Saccharomyces cerevisiae S288C: one gene and its partners. Changing the gene in region 1 together with any one later gene gives a genetic interaction. Each region holds a gene or a part of one and is shown on either strand. Other genes may lie near its edges.

What was found. Genes that interact genetically often act in the same process or in processes that back each other up.
Region 2: mutations in SKN7 (region 1) and RIM21 together harm fitness more than expected from each alone (negative genetic interaction), as found in Saccharomyces cerevisiae (3 studies listed by BioGRID).
Region 3: mutations in SKN7 (region 1) and RIM20 together harm fitness more than expected from each alone (negative genetic interaction), as found in Saccharomyces cerevisiae (3 studies listed by BioGRID).

What each region holds. Positions count from the first base shown.
Region 1 is NC_001140.6:511,041-519,446, reverse strand, and holds SKN7 (kinase-regulated stress-responsive transcription factor SKN7), read right to left. Parts: upstream 6,716-8,406; coding exon 4,847-6,715; downstream 1-4,846. Other genes in the region: CRG1 (S-adenosylmethionine-dependent methyltransferase), read right to left, coding at 1-10; branched-chain-amino-acid transaminase BAT1, read right to left, coding at 734-1,915; SET5 (S-adenosylmethionine-dependent methyltransferase), read left to right, coding at 2,962-4,542; serine/threonine protein kinase SCH9, read right to left, coding at 7,610-8,406. UniProt on the Saccharomyces cerevisiae protein: Transcription factor that is part of a SLN1-YPD1-SKN7 two-component regulatory system, which controls gene expression in response to changes in the osmolarity of the extracellular environment.
Region 2 is NC_001146.8:78,159-81,935, forward strand, and holds RIM21 (Rim21p), read right to left. Parts: upstream 2,103-3,777; coding exon 501-2,102; downstream 1-500. Other genes in the region: MRX6 (Mrx6p), read left to right, coding at 1-362; Rab GTPase-activating protein MSB3, read left to right, coding at 2,482-3,777. UniProt on the Saccharomyces cerevisiae protein: Required for the proteolytic cleavage of the transcription factor RIM101 in response to alkaline ambient pH. Required for growth at alkaline pH.
Region 3 is NC_001147.6:838,584-842,995, forward strand, and holds RIM20 (Rim20p), read right to left. Parts: upstream 2,487-4,412; coding exon 501-2,486; downstream 1-500. Other genes in the region: MOD5 (tRNA dimethylallyltransferase), read left to right, coding at 1-377; CAF20 (Caf20p), read left to right, coding at 2,750-3,235; uroporphyrinogen-III synthase HEM4, read left to right, coding at 4,234-4,412. UniProt on the Saccharomyces cerevisiae protein: Required for the proteolytic cleavage of the transcriptional repressor RIM101 in response to alkaline ambient pH, which is necessary for sporulation and invasive growth.

The DNA of each region.
Region 1 (8,406 bases):
TTTTAGGCATTCTGGATTCTTCCATTGACAGAAGACTGGCTTTGAAGATGTACTGAGTGTAAAAGGGTTAACTTGAATTTGCCCCTTTAGTTCGTGCCGTTTGTTTATGTTTATATACGTTCCCTTGGGGCCGCTAATTAGAATGCTAAATATAGATCGTGGAAAACTTTCACTACAAAGCTTCTCGTTGTTGTGTTGGCTGAACATATACTAATGAACTGTTTAAATCAGGATTATGGACCGGTGAGGGAACATAATCATCTCTTCATGCCTGAACCTGTATGCCACGATGATGGAAGGCATACCATTATTCATACTGTACTTGCACCTCTTCTGAACTACGCTAGAATTTATTCTTCAGAAAATACCAGGGATATCCTTATAGATTTTTTTTTTTTGGCATAATCAACTCTCTTGGGTATCTTGCCGCATTCATTTTACATGTAAAGTCCAGCGAGATACCTTGGCAACTAAATTACAAGCAGTCTCTATGAAATTCAATAATGTGCCAAGTTGTTAGGTCAACAATTTCAAAAAGCGTAAGAAGCCGCACAATGGCTTGCATAAGCTATAATAATAATAGTAATCCAATATTTCTTATAATAAATAAACTCAACAGGAATTGTAAAAAAGTATGTATCTATGTGAATAAAGTGAGAGAAAAACAGATCCTCTGAGAGGAATTCTCGTTTTTTTTTTTTGGGGGGGGAGGGGATGTTTACCTTCATTATCATTAGTTCAAGTCGGCAACAGTTTTTGACCAGTTACCATAATTGACTCTACCGTATTGGATATCAGCAATCCATTGAGCAACTTGCTTGGTCAATGCACCACATTGTTCACCAGGCAATAGTGGAACATGAATATCTTCGTTGTTCCAGCCAATTTCCTTGATAGGTGAAACGACAGCAGCAGTACCAGAACCGAAGGCTTCTAATAGTTCACCTTGTTTTGCTCTAGTGGCGACTTCAGTAATAGTGTAATAACGCTCGTTGATGTCCCATTCTTGAGGATCTAGTTTGTCACGAGCCAATGTTAAAACAGAGTCTCTGGTAACACCTTCTAAAATGGTACCATCTAATGGAGCGGTAACCAATTCCTTCTTGCCAGTGACTTTGTTGAGGAAAACGAAGAACACGTTCATAGTACCAACCTCAGTGATGTTCTTTTCTGGGCCGAACAACCATAGATTTTGTTGGTACCCTCTTTTGGCAGCTTGTAGTTGAGGTAAGATGCATGGGGCATAGTTAGCACCCAATTTTTTGTCGCCAACACCACCTGGCCAAGCTCTTGTAGCATAGTCTGTTGCTTCAAGACGTACGGCTTTGAAACCAGTCTTATAATAAGGACCGACTGGAGAAGTAATAACATAAAGAAGAGCCTCGGAGGGAGTGCCAACACCTAAACCCTTGGATGTACCAATCATTGTTGGTCTGATGTATAATGAGTAACCATTACCTTGAGGAACCAAGTGTTTATCTTGTTCGATCAATTTCCCGGTAAGTTTGATCAATTCTTCAGATTCGAAAGTTGGCAAACAAATTCTAGCGGCAGACTTGTTCATACGGGCCATGTTCTTATCCGGACGGAACATGGTGATAGTATTTTGAGGAGTTCTGTAGGCTTTCAAACCTTCAAATAATTCAAATGCATAATGGAATACACAAGCAGATGGGTCAAGAGAAAGATTACCGTAAGGCTTGATGTGTGGAGTGCCCCACCCTTCTTTGGCTGACCAAGGAATGGTCAACATATGATCGGTGAATGTCTGGCCGAACACTAATTCTTCATTTGGTCTTGGCTTGGATGGATTTGGGTTTCTAGTAATTTTTAGTTTGGATGCATCTAATGGGGCACCAGTAGCGAGTGTTCTGATGGAGAATTTCCCCAACTTCAAGGAATGTCTCTGCAACATGTTTTAGTATGCTAAGGTTCTAGCTGATTTTGCGTTTATAGGGTGATTTATTCTAACGAAAACATGTAGTTGTTACCACTAGCTCTCTTTATAGTGCCATTTTTTTCAGATGCTTTTTTTTTTTCAAAGCTTAAAGGCCGGTACCGGCAAACACAATAGAATTTTGAGTCATAAGAAGGCAATATGGATCGGATGGGCCATTAAACAAAAAGAGAGCCAATTCATCAGTAATAATAGCGACAGCCGGTATGAAATCTGCACAAAGTATCAACCGCCTGGCCTCTATCAGTAAGATCATTCAATCAACCGTACACGCGGTACTTATCCAGCGTTAACATTTACGCTTTACAGTTCAGCTAAAAAAGAACACATTATCTAGTTAATGCCTGGGAAGGCCCTGGCAAGATACACTTTATCTAAATTATCTACTGCTCGCAAGGCAATGCTATCAATTTGAGAAGTGCAGAAGGAAATGCCATCAAGCTTGTGGTGCGCATTTCACTTTTAAGGATAATAACAGAATTTAATGGCTTGATATGGACGGGCGGTTTGCGAGCCTTACTATTGATAGGAGTATTCGTCAAGTCCAGGGCGCCAATGTGACTTATCGCGCTGTGGGTGGGTAATTCTACCTCAGTTTGCTTCTCGAGGAGTTTGTAGCATAAATCTCGTTAGAATAGTCAAACATACGGTATCTTTCTTTCTCTTGAAAAATTAGTACAGTCTACAAGTTTTCCTCATTGGCTTTCAGACGAGCATTTGATTGTCAAGTACTTTCCGGACCACCTGCGATAGTTTCCCTTGTCTACTTGAGCAGATATGCTCTTACTGACTAGCAAGAATGATAACAAATTTTATCAGTAAACCCTTTCCTTGCCGTAATTTTTTTTATTTTAGCTTCGTAATTTTTTTTTTCGTATTATTTTTCTTTTTCTTTTTCTTTCTTGATATCATAATCATGGGGAACTTCTCCATATAACAATAGAAGCTAAATAGGTAAATAACCAAGCGTGCACTGATACAAAATAACGAAAAGTGGCACAAAAATGACATTGACTATCAAAATAGGAACCTTAAACGATAGCGATCAATCTGCAGTGCATAATGGTACAGAAAATGGCTCTGATTTTCGAAAGATAACTCCCACAGAGGAAGAGATCTGTGATGACGTAGTTTTGTTATGGAAGGAAGAGCCCGGAACTGAAGACGCTACGATTCAGCATCTTTATGACAGGATTACGGAAAGAAATCAATCGTGGAAATTGAGTGCTTCTCGTTTTCGAAAAATTCTAAATGAGCACCATCTTTATGACACAGATCTAGAGACCGTTTCTCTATATAAAGATAAAATACATTTTCCAAAAGCCCTAGATTCTGATGCTAAGGTCGAAGTGAAATTTATTGATGACGAACATGGAAGGGGCCTTTTCGCTAAAAGAGATTTTTCCAAGGGCCAAATCATCCTGAAAGAAAATAAACCTATCGTATATATTCCACCACTGGACAAGCTTTTTTTAATATCTAATGGAAAGGCATGTGCTCGATGTGGTAAGGCGCTATATGATTTGACCCAGCACAAAATTATGGTCCATTATTTGGATTGTGAAGTTTGCAAAGCTATTTGGTGCAGTGAAAAATGTAAAAAAGCACATGCGTCGTTACATGAGCTTTTATACCACTCATGGAGATCGAATAGAATAGACATTCTTCATGCTGGTAATTGGAAAAGATTTGTTAACTACTGTGAGAAATATTGTTTTACCGCTGCCTTTTCAGTTGGTCTTATATATGGATCCATGCTTTTGGATACTACAGGAGAGGTCAAAGAGCAATGGCAAAAATTGGCAAGCATCTCACAAAGGGAAAGAATTAAATTAAGAGACGCCAGCGGTATCGGCAGTACGTTTAGTTTACTGAATGGTACAACTGTACATACTGAAGAGGAATCTGATAATGGTACCAAAAAGGGCGTTGAGAAGAATATTGATGACGAGACTGTTTGGGAGAAGTGCTACGAATTATTTTGCGGTGCATTTCCAAAAGCTTCTGAAGAAATAGATTTCGAGAAATTTTTGACCATGATCGGGACGTTCAATATCAATCAATATAACGGCCAGGTATATCATTGGATCTCCTTCATAAACCATGATTGTGAACCAAACGCCTATATTGAGCAAGTAGAAGAACATGAGGAACTGAGGTTGCATGCAAGGAAACCAATAAAGAAGGGGGAACAAATACGTATTACGTACGTCAATCCCTTACATGGGGTGAGGTTGAGGCGTAGGGAATTAAGAGTTAACTGGGGCTTCTTATGCCAGTGTGACCGCTGTCAAAATGAACTATCTACATTTGAAAGAGTTCCAAATCTAGAGAAAAAGAATGCGGATGCTAATTTAGGAGTAGAAAAAATAGATTCCAATGATAGTAGTGAAGATGGCTCTAAGAAATCAACTGGTAATCGTAAATCTTCCATGAGAGAGGCCCAGCCAGATTTAAAAGAAATACTGAAGAATGGAAAAGAATTTGAATTAGACATACCAGAAACTGTTGATACACAAGGGAATGTAAGAAAAACCTCAGTCAGATTCGATTCAAACGTTTCGGTCGCAGTGGATGAAAGATAAGAGATAAACGCATACTAAATTACTGTGTCTGTTATTGTTTTTGGCTATATATATATATATATATATATATATATAGTAAATATAAGAAAAACAAAGAAAAAAGAAATGAGAGTGAATTTGAGAGCGGCAGAAAGAAATAAAATTCAAACATTTTGATGTAGATAACTGGAAATAACTGAAGGGGATAAAATATTGAACGAAAAGAAAATGATAATCCTCCAAGATCACATAATAAATATAAAGAAACTCCTCAGGAATACAGAATGTCCTCTGCTAACTTAGACGCAAGGCTATTTGTAAAATTTTATGATAGCTGGTTTTCTTGAAGTGTAGATTGTGGTAATTGCGGAGTGGAACCCATTGAGGAATGTGGTACAGTGTTGATTTCATGTTCCAAATTCGGTATGGCTACGTCTGACCTAGCATTAGCAATGGCGTTGTGATGCTGCTGCTGCTGCTGAGCATGGAAAATTTGATGCTGCTGTTCTTGTTGACCTTGTTGAACATGCTGTGCAGAAGATATAGAGGCACCTGGGGTAACAGGGGTAGTAGTTGACGGATTATCTTGTGGTAACATGGCTAACGACTGTTCATTAATCGTATTAGGATTCGAATTAGCAGTATTGGTGTTGGAATGAGTTTGTGGCGAAGAGTTGCGAGGTGGTAATTGCTGTTCGCATAAAGGAATACGGTCCTTTAGATAACGTATTAAAATTGAGTGTAAATCATCCCTCGTGAATGGTTTGGCCAAGATATCATTCATTCCATGTTGTAAGTATGTGATCAAGTCTTGATTCATAATGTTACCTGTCATGGCAATGATGGGAGTCTCATTATCAAAACTTCTGACAATGGATGTCGCTGTGGCACCATCTAGGTTTGGCATAACAATGTCCATTAAAACCAAATCATACCTATACTTCTCTAGTGTTGAGATAGCTGAAAGACCGTCGCTGACAACTTGGACAGTACAGCCATATTTCCGTAAAAATTTTGAACACAACTGTATAGACACTGCGTCATCTTCCACCAACAGTACATGGAAACCTTTTCGTAGCGTGACTGTGTTATTTTGAGCATTTGGTGTTAGGCTATTCTGATCGGGTAAATTAGGTAGTTGTAAGGAAACTGTAGATGTTGCCGGAGAAGCATTGTTGGTGTTGTTGTTGCTTTGGATAGCTGTTGTTGTTGCTGGGTTGGTATTACCAGTTGGGTTACGGTTTCCATTGTCGCCAAATATTGGCACTTCAATACCATTATTTGCCAAAGTGGAACACAGAGTGTTGAAGTTGTTGAGTAAATTTTCATTTATGGTCTTGAATGTTATCAAACTTTCGATAACCGTATTGTATTTCGAGTTCAACTTTTGTAGTTCTACTTTAGTAGCATAACTCTCCATTTTGGACATATCCAACTCCTTTTGTAGTTTGTCTACTCGCCTTCTTAGATTTCCAAATGCATCTTTACTTACGGTATTGCTTAACAACAGCTCTGTGGTGGATTCATTCAAAAGAGACCCAGAAGGATTGTTGGGGTTAGTGCCTTCACTATTGAAATGCAAAAGAGCCTTTTGAGATTCATCCAAAAGCACTTTCCTTTGCGCCGGAATTTTCCTTTTGATGTTATCGAGACCTTTTCCGTAATGGACTCTAAATTCTGGATGCTGAAACTCCCAACTTTGTTCGCCATATTTACATCTCTGTCTTTCCTCGGGACTTCTCTTAACCTTGTGAAAGTCATACTTGTTTAGTTGCCTTACAAAAGATGCAAAATTTGAATGTTTGAAGTGATTAGGCAATATATGCGTAGTGAACTTTCCTGTGTCCAAAACGACGAAACTTTTGCCGTTCTCAGTCCAAGTTACAATGTCAGGATATTCATTGTTTTCCAGTATCCTGAACAGTTTTCTTACGAACTCATTTGCTGGAGCCTTTGCTCCCGCATTAGCACTGCTGATATTTGTGTTTCCAGCTGGTTGTTGAACGTTATTAGTCTTGTTGTTAATGTGCAGCATGTCAGAAGAGTTGTTTGGCTGCATCGTGTTCATCAGTCGAGGCCCGCTCTGCAACAAGTCCATTCCTAAAAGGTCTGCAGTCGAACTGTTCTCGGTGGTGTTATTATTGCTATCGCCGGTGGTTTTATTGACGTTGCTATTTATGGTGGAAAAGCTCATAGTGGATATCAAAAGTAAGCAACGAAAAAATAGGAATAAGAATAATGGAAACAAAGAGAGGATAAAAAAACTTCTATAACAGTCCTTTAATAATACAGCAATTTCGTTGCTTTTTTGTTGGTCTTGGAAAAAACAGAATGTCCTCTAATGAGCGAGTTAAATATATGACCCAAACAAAAGCAGCAAGCCTAGGTAAGATGTTGGAAGATAGTAAGGTGACCAGGGATATCTGTGTAATGTTAGTAAAACTTTGACAAATGTTTCAGATCCTGGAAGCACTTTCAATCTTGTCACATTCGATGGGATGACAGTTAAGCTCAGTAAAGCTGACCACATTTTGCTCATAGTTAAAGAAAGAAAAAATTCAGAATTTCGGAAAATCCATGTACGCGCATCGATGAGCCCTGCCCTCACTTATGGCATCCCTATTATAGCAAAACCCTGCTTATACTTGTGTTAGCCCTACTTTTAATCGACTTTAAACCTATGCATTTAAGAAAAACTTTTTTTTTTTTTTTTTCGGATGATATAACCGACCTATAATTTCCGAACCGACTTTGGGAAATCACAGCGAAGCGTTTACTTAAGCCCTGATTATATATAGATGAGGGGTAAATATGTCAAAGTACAATGGAATGGTGAGGTATAAGCAGTGATTATGAGACGTGATAAACTAGAAATTTGCAGGAACAATTATTCATTTTTTGGAGTTTAAATAAAACGAAAATACATACATACTTTACATATATAAATAGAAGAAATGTTTCGATAAAGTGGGAAAAACGATTAGAAGATACAAATTAATAATAGAAGTAGAAATAAAAGATAGAAAAATTAGAAAAAAATAAAAAGAAAAGGAAAAGAAGAGGAAGGGCAAGAGGAGCGATTGAGAAATCATATTTCGAATCTTCCACTGACAAATTCGTCATCCATGTGTTGGTCGCCGTCGAAGTCCATCTGCGAATGGCTGTTGTTCATATTTTTCTCTTGGTTGAATCCATCATTGATGTCCTCGTCCCCGTCATCATCGATGACATCTTCGTCTGGAGGTAAGTTTGGATTTCCCGGGATAAAGGAACCAGGTTCCATAAAGTACGAGTTTTGTAGGAATTTTCTGTTGTTATTAACGTGTTCATCGATGGCGGACTCATCAACAAAGGTGAAACCAGCAAACTTTGCTTGCATGGCTGGAGATAGCGGGGTAGCAGTCATCATCGGCTGGTGCTTGTTCATGTATGAAGTTGAAGCTGTTGTGAACTCTGGGTCAAAATTCGAGGTATCCGTCTCCGAGACTAGGTGAGGTTTGAAAGGTGGTGGAATTTTTTTCTGCTTCAAGGCCTCCCAGTCGATATCTGCGAAAAATGGATGAGCTCGTAGTTCTCTTCCATCATCAATGGCACCGAGTCTATGTTTGGGGTTTCTGTTTAGTAAACCCTTTACAAAAGACCTCCCCTCTTGTGACAGTACGTCTCTGGGGAATTTGACTTTACCAAAGGCAATTTTTTGGTACATTTTTTGATTATTTTCCGCAAAGAAAGGGGACCAACCACAACACATTTCAAATATCAAAACACCTAGAGACCAGAAATCGACCATTTTGGTGTAGCCGGTTTCGTCCAGTAACAATTCTGGTGCCAGGTATTCCGTGGTGCCGCAAAATGTGTTTGTTCTATCCTTCAAGTCAGCTTTAG
Region 2 (3,777 bases), on another chromosome or scaffold:
CGATATTGTCAACTTTAACAAATTCCAGAGACTCTAAGAAATTTGAAAACAAAATCAAGGCGTATATTGAAAAAATCATAGTGCGGTTATCAGATGAAGTACCATCCACATATTTTTTCCAAGATGGCGTAGATTGTATTATTCAACCAAGTCCGATTCATAATTTCAAGAGAATGCATTGGTTAAGATACACCAAGAGGCACAATACCTTTTGGGGGAGGACTATACATAAGGACGTTCAAGTCAGCTTCAATGACAAGTATGTTGTTACTAGGAGCGGCGTGAGGTATACGAGGTATCCCACTAATTTGAATACACAATTATTGGAAACTGCATTTGAAGAATGGGACTACTATGAGTGATTTTGCATTGAGTACTTATCCACTGCTCTATTATGTGACATATTCGCAATTCGTGTAAATATTATGCATATGCATCTTGAGCATGCATGGAATATATAAATATGTAGGTTTGTTGTAATACTGTTTCTGCTGTGTCCTTCAAATATGGCCTATATGGTCGCTGGTAAAAGTGGCAGAGCTATTGTTATTGCCTTCACTGCCAACTTCATATTCATCGTCATCTTCATCTTCCGCGTTCTCATCGTCATCTTCATCTGAATTGAAAACGACATCCTTTGTCGAATAAATGTATATGCCTGGTTTGTCTAATCCCAACCGTTTCCTGACCATGGCCTTTCTCTGTTTGGTTTTTTCATTTTTCGAGCTGCTGCTATTATTGTGGCCTACGCTTTTCTGGACGATTTGGTCTGTAAAGTATAAAATTTTATCACGCGCATAGCCTAATTTCTTCAGCGCTACATCTTTATAAGTTCCCCTATCATTGAAATGCATTCGATCAATGCTTCTGCCCACTGATATCTGATCTTCTGGGTCGTAGCGTGATATGGTCTGTAAATCACATACTTCCGAATTACTTGACGTATCGTGCCGATCCGTTGATGCGTCCTGAGATTCCCTCCTGGTTAAAGCGTTTTGAACCCTTAAGGCGTACTTGGCAAACCGATAGTCTTGTTGCTCTTCCTCGAAGATAGGTCTTCCCAAAATGCTTTGCGCTTCCTCTTTTCTTTCCAAAACATTTAATCTATCCAGCCACTCCCATGTGATCACGGTCGAAGTGACATAGCATGTCGTGTTAAACACTTCACCCAGTTCCGATATCCATAAGTTCGACACATCGGCAAGGAAGAAACCCGGTAATAGAAGCACCACAAGAATAGTCAATAGCGTAAGTAAACCCATTTGATTGAATTTAAACCACAATTTTTTTTTCTGCCAGATGTGATAAATGACGATTGATGCATATGACGTGGCGATGGCAATACGGAAAAGGTAAACAAATGGCCGCAGAATCTGCCAGTCATTTCTGTGTTTTGTAGTATGGTTAGCAAACGGTGGAATTACCCATAAAATATTTGCGGTTATTGTTAATATCACCCCAATAAAAAAAATTATTCTCTTTTCCTGAGCTCTTTGAAATAGCCTAATGACAATGCCGACTTGGCAAAATTGGAACATTAAAGTAGCCAAGAAATCCAAGACAACAAATGTCATATCATCGGAAAAGATGTGCATAATGGAATGAGCCCGAACGACACCATAGACATTGTGCTCTTTTTCCAATCTCCGCAACACCTTCGTGATAAAAATCGTTAAGTTCAACGAGGCTAACAACGAGGCTATCCTCAGTAGTTGTAGAATTCTCTTATATGCGCGCCCGCTGATATTTATACAGCATATCACAGTCAGGAACACTGTGATGACAAAATTAGAAGTTATCGACAAAATCACAGCATAAATCGCATACTCAGCAGAACCGCCGACATAATCGCTTACTTGAATGAATTTTTGCCAGTCATTGATCACCTCATCAAGATACCTATATGGGGAAGAGTTTCTTAGCACCGTAGATACATAAACGGGCACTCTTTCACAGCAGAAACTCCTAAAAGTAATATCTTCTGCATATACTGCCGAATTGTCATAAAGAGGCAATTGTATCAGCACCCCTGAACCTAGCTTCATTGGATGACAGCTATTGTAAGCAGCCAATTCTTCTGGACTATGTCTCCACAAGTTCATGTTTGCAGAATCGACTATTCATCGAGTGTCTTCCTCCTTATGTGCTACTAAAAACGATAGTCTAAAATGACTGATTAAGTGCGCACAGGAAAGAAGAAAACAGGTAAAGGACACCGAATCTGTAGTACCAGTCTTTTGTCTTTCTTGTAACTAAACGATGTGGGTTGCTCTTCTAAAGTACTTATCTTTACTCGCCGATACAACGGGTTCCATCTTCTCTTTCAATAGCTGCTATTTTTCTGTTCGGGCAGTATCAGAATTAACAGGATCAAACCTCGTTTATGTCACGTAGAAAGAAAGTAGCTAAAAATAGCTAAAGGGACATCTAGAAGCTTTGTAGGAGTCAAAGAGTTGCGCACCCAGAACCATTGTAATTAGCATGCAGAACGATCAACAGAGGTTCTCCCTGCAAAATAGGACGGTACTGGCGCATCCATACAAAAGGCTAGGAGGGGCATTTACGGTGAAATCACCGTCTGTTCCTAACTTTCATGATAAAATGCATTCAGATCATAGTTCTAGCGACTCAGCTCTGGTGAACGGAAGCTTTAGAGCGAATGATCATCGCTCTGTGGAACCAAGTTGTTTGGGCCAAGCATCCCCCTCTGAACATGATGGGAATTTAAGCGTTATTGACCTGTATGGAGACGAAGTGGAATCCCAACGTGCCGAAGGAGAGGATGATGATGATAATAATGGCGATAATGGTAACGAAGATCTGGAGGAAGTGCACAGTGATGACCTCGATTTGGTTCCTGATGATGACAACCGTCAGCGTGTAGAATTGGAGGGTGCCGCTAGTGCCACAAGTGCGAATTCCAATGGAATCAACAATACCCATTTTGATCGATACGGTTTCAAAAAACAGAATAATTACATATCTGAAGCAGAATACGATAAGTGGTGGGTAGAATATTCGCAGTACTGCGTTCGCCGTAAGCACAAATGGCAATTGCTGTTGGAGAAAAGTGGGTTGCCAGTGACCGATGATTCTCCTTCACGATTTCCATCAAAGAGTGAACGGTTAAAAAGGTATGTCAGAAAGGGCATTCCAGCGGAATGGAGAGGAAATGCATGGTGGCATTTCGCTAGAGGGCAAGAGAAGTTAAACAAGAATAAAGGCGTCTATTCACAACTTTTACGAAAGATGAAGCAGATCAAGAAACAAAACCCTAATGAAAAACAAGTTCAAGACTTGGATATTATTGAACGTGACTTGAATAGAACATTTCCGGACAATATACATTTCCAAAGTAGCTTGCATAACAAAGAGGGACCTCCGATTATAAAATCTTTACGCCGGGTGCTTGTTGCGTTCTCTCTCTACAATCCGAAGATTGGCTATTGTCAATCTATGAACTTTCTTGCAGGCTTGCTATTGTTATTTTTAGACGAGGAAAGGGCCTTTTGGATGCTAGTGATTATTACTTCAAGATACCTACCGGGGGTGCATAATATCAATCTAGAAGGTGTTAACATCGACCAAGGGGTACTGATGCTATGTGTCAAAGAATATATTCCAGAAGTTTGGTCGTACATTAAGCCTTCCATTGACCACCACCAAAAAAATAACAAAACTTTTTCTCCGTCAAATAAAAAAGTTTTATTCAATATGCAAAAGAATGAGTTCTTGTACAGACTTCCGCCCATTACTTTGTGCACGGCGAGCTGGTTC
Region 3 (4,412 bases), on another chromosome or scaffold:
TGATACCTGACATCAAAGGCGATATATACTTACTGGATGCCACTGACCTTTCTCAATGGGACACGAATGCATCTCAAAGAGCGATAGCTATTTCCAATGACTTTATTAGCAATCGACCCATCAAGCAAGAAAGGGCACCTAAAGCCCTAGAGGAGCTGTTGTCTAAAGGCGAAACTACGATGAAGAAATTGGACGATTGGACACATTATACTTGCAACGTCTGTCGTAACGCAGATGGTAAGAACGTTGTAGCTATTGGCGAAAAATATTGGAAAATTCATTTGGGTAGCAGAAGACATAAATCCAACTTGAAAAGAAACACTCGTCAAGCTGATTTTGAAAAATGGAAAATAAACAAGAAGGAGACTGTGGAATGAAAATATTAGGAAAAAGGAGTTTATCCTGAGTGTATATATCTACATAAGTGAAGCTGGGTTTTGATAATGGAAAGGGAGGATGACAAGCTCAAAATATACTTTATAGATGAATGAGGACAGGTATCATTGGTCTTCAAATGTCAAACTCTTATCAAGCCTAGCTTTTTCTGCTCTTCTTGCTGTATCATATTCCTGTACCTCATTGTACAGATTGCTGGTAGAAGTAATTAAATTTTCGTAAAATGCTGTGCCGGCACTTAAATTTTCTTTCACCTCATCAAGCAGTTTGAAGGAATATCTCAGATCTTCAATATATAGCTCTCTGGGATCTATTCTTACCATTTTCTTTGGTTCAATCCCGCTTCTGCCGGGGTTATTCTTCTTACTTAGGTTTACTTCCTCAATAAGTTTGATATTTTCTTCCTTTGTACTATTAACGTATCTTAAATCTTCGTCAAAGTATTTTAAATGGCCTATGAAAATGGGTTCAAAGTCGACTGTTCCATTTTTTTTATACGATGTAATGATCTTTGGAAGTATTCTATATTCTGAAGATTTCCGCCTCGTCCTATCAATATAATCATTTCTTTCCTGTATGATCATCTTAATCTTATTCGTTAGAGGATCATTAGATTCCGGTAACCTGATCTCTGATCCAATCAAATTTTTATCGATGCTTTGAAATAGTTCATTTGTTTGTTTGTCAATCGCACTACCTTCATCAAGGTATCCTCTCAGCTTTTTTAGTTTTTCATAATATGCTGTGTTAGTAGTTGAAGATTCGGGTAAAGTCCAATTTAAGGTTCCGTGTTTTAGTCGGAGCTGATTGTCAGTAAATGCTTCTTCATTTAAAATTTGCTCAATGTTATCGAGTTGTACCTGCACATTTTTATTATTAATGAGAAGATTATTCAGTGATGCCTGGTAATGACTCAGTTCTGCTTCACTCACCTTTGTAAGCCCTTGTGGTATTTGGAAAGTAGTCAAGGACTCCTTCAATAGTTTATTTAGGGAAGCAAGGGGATTGGTAACACGTTGTTCAACGTATTCATCTTGCCTTTCATTGTATGCTGTGCAATATTCCATCACTTCTATAGGGATTAGGTCTTTGAATAAAGTCTCATCCTTTTTAATAGAAGGCAACAATGTTGCTGAAGAAGATGGTTTAACCATGAGAGCTGGTTTGATCGATGGTAATTCCGAAGGAACTTCTTGTAAGTAGATGAATTCATTGTCTCTTTGGGCTTCTTTCAGAGAAGATTCGACAACAGTTTTAAACTTAGCTTGCGAAGATAGTGTTGATTCATTTATAAATTGCAATCCCATTTGCAGAGCTTTCACAACATTTCCGAACTGCTTCTTCTCATTAAAAGATAAGGCTATTCTGTAATAAGTCACCGCACTAAAGTAAGCCTTTTTAGCCTTTAAGTGGTTTATCCAATCACTTCTAATAAGTTTCCCCCTTTGGGCGTCATTAATAGCCTCGCAGTAGAAGTCCACGATCTGTTGTGACAACTTCGCGATTAAGGAGTCCTTGTGTTTATCTTGCACGGCTTTAAACCAGAAGCATTCTTGCGCTTGTGCTAGCATCAGGGAGGTTAAAGCGTTCAATGTGGCGTCATCTACCACTGGGATTGTCTCAAGATTTTTTTGGTGGTCTAAAACATGTTTAAAGCATCCGGCGGCATTCTGGAAGTACAGACATGACGTTTTGAGGGATTCGGCTGCATCATTGTTGCTATTTAGAGCCAACAGTGAATACATGCAACCAATATTATAAATAATGGTTAATTTTTCCCATTGTAATGAGTATTGACTAGTACCACGAGATTTTTGTGATAGCGTTTGAAACCATGTAAATTCTATTTGATTATTGGGAAACTTTTTCTCTAATTGCAACAATATTACATAGTATTCCTTCAGTGCAGAAAGACCGTCGATTGAGATATCGGGTGCAATCGCATTGTTTCTTGCATCAACAACTTTGAGTATGTCTGATTGGAAAAAGGATGCCGTTTGAAAGGAAGTAGTATCAATTAGTTTTGACAACTCCGTGGCAAAGTCCACTTCTAAAGTTCGCTTAAGTGGAATGGCAAGCAGTTCACTCATGTCACACTGCCTGGATCTCCATAGATAATAATACTCTCTCTGCAAGGGTATAGTAGTGTTTTAATAAGGCTTTATAGTCCCTTTTCTTATGCTATATTATAAAGCCGGGTAGTAGCGAGGCTTGAATATCTCTTTTCCTGGACGAAAAATAGTGAAAAATTGGAAAAAGTATTTGGCGTAAAGCATATTCTACCGATTGCGATAGACATTATTTGAGCTGTAACCTGAATATAGGATTAAGAACTTTTATTTAATTTCACGACATGATCAAGTATACTATCGATGAGCTTTTTCAACTGAAGCCAAGTTTAACTTTGGAAGTTAATTTCGATGCGGTGGAATTTAGAGCCATCATTGAAAAAGTTAAGCAATTGCAACACTTGAAAGAGGAAGAGTTTAACAGTCATCATGTTGGTCATTTCGGTCGTAGAAGATCTTCCCACCATCATGGTAGACCAAAGATTAAGCACAACAAGCCTAAGGTTACAACCGATTCAGATGGTTGGTGCACATTTGAAGCCAAGAAGAAGGGTAGTGGAGAAGATGATGAAGAAGAAACAGAAACCACACCAACTTCTACTGTGCCAGTTGCTACCATTGCCCAAGAAACTTTAAAAGTCAAGCCAAATAACAAAAATATTTCTTCCAACAGACCTGCTGATACCAGAGATATTGTTGCGGACAAGCCAATTCTTGGTTTCAACGCATTTGCTGCTTTGGAAAGTGAAGACGAAGACGACGAAGCATAAGTCATTCGCTCATGCTTTCTTCAGGCAGCTGTACGTGTACTATGTATAAATTTTGAATAACATTTTTTTTAATAAACAGTTTTTACTCTTTTAGGTTACTTTCCAGATTGAAAATATACAACGTGGTTACATAAAGAAATTAAAATGTAGAACGAATCATGACCAACTGTATCAGGTGTTTAAAAAGGCGAGGTGAAAGAGAAAGGCTTCCCCCTCTAATATCAACAGCTGGAGATACATCTTTCTAATAATTAATCTACCATGAGCCGTACGCACTGAAGCAACGCCCATCAAACATCCGAAGCCACATTATGAGTACAAAAGAGGCTGACGTTAATAGGAACTCATGGTGTAATTTTGCTTCACTTTTCTGAATTCAAATGGAAATAGAAGTAAAAATGGGCAGAAAAGTTACCTCATGCTTTAAATATACTCAACTTTTCTCTACCGACAGTAGGAGCCCTAAGAGATAAAGCGAAAAATTTTCACAGCGCGCTCCTTGGTGCGGCGAGGGTATAAAAGGCGATTTCATTTCAATTCTTTGAACTTACTTCATTTGCAGGATCCTTCAGGATAAGAAAACCATCATTCAATAAACTGATCTTCCGGATTACCATGCTTAAGACATCACGCCTCCATATGTCTATATAAAGCGCAAATGGCTGGAAGTAGACCAATTTTTTTTGTTCCTAGCTTTTCATTATTGAAATCTAATCCAGTTTTAATGGTTTTTCTTAATTAAGAAAACAAATTATCATTGGTTCGCTCTAGGTGTACATATCTTCACTTCATTACTCTCTTGTTTACATTGTATACATCGTACATATACTTCAATTATGGAAATACCATAAATTCTCTTAGTGTGTAGTTCACTAGTTTTTGGGGTTGGGTTGTGCTGTAGTCAGCTAAGGCGCTTTAGTGAACTTTCTAGTGAGTTTTTTGAATTTTAGTGTCAAAGGATAAGGAAACAGAAAGGTAAAATAGACCTTGCTCGAGAGATGTCTAGTCGTAAAAAAGTCAGAGTATTACTGCTCAAGAATAAAACTGTCCCCATTGATAAATATGAATTGGAGTGTAGGAGTAAGGCGTTTGAACCCATATTCGTACCGCTTATTAAACATACACATGTAATTCAAGATTTTAGAAATGTTTTGAATACCATCCCAAACTATTTGAA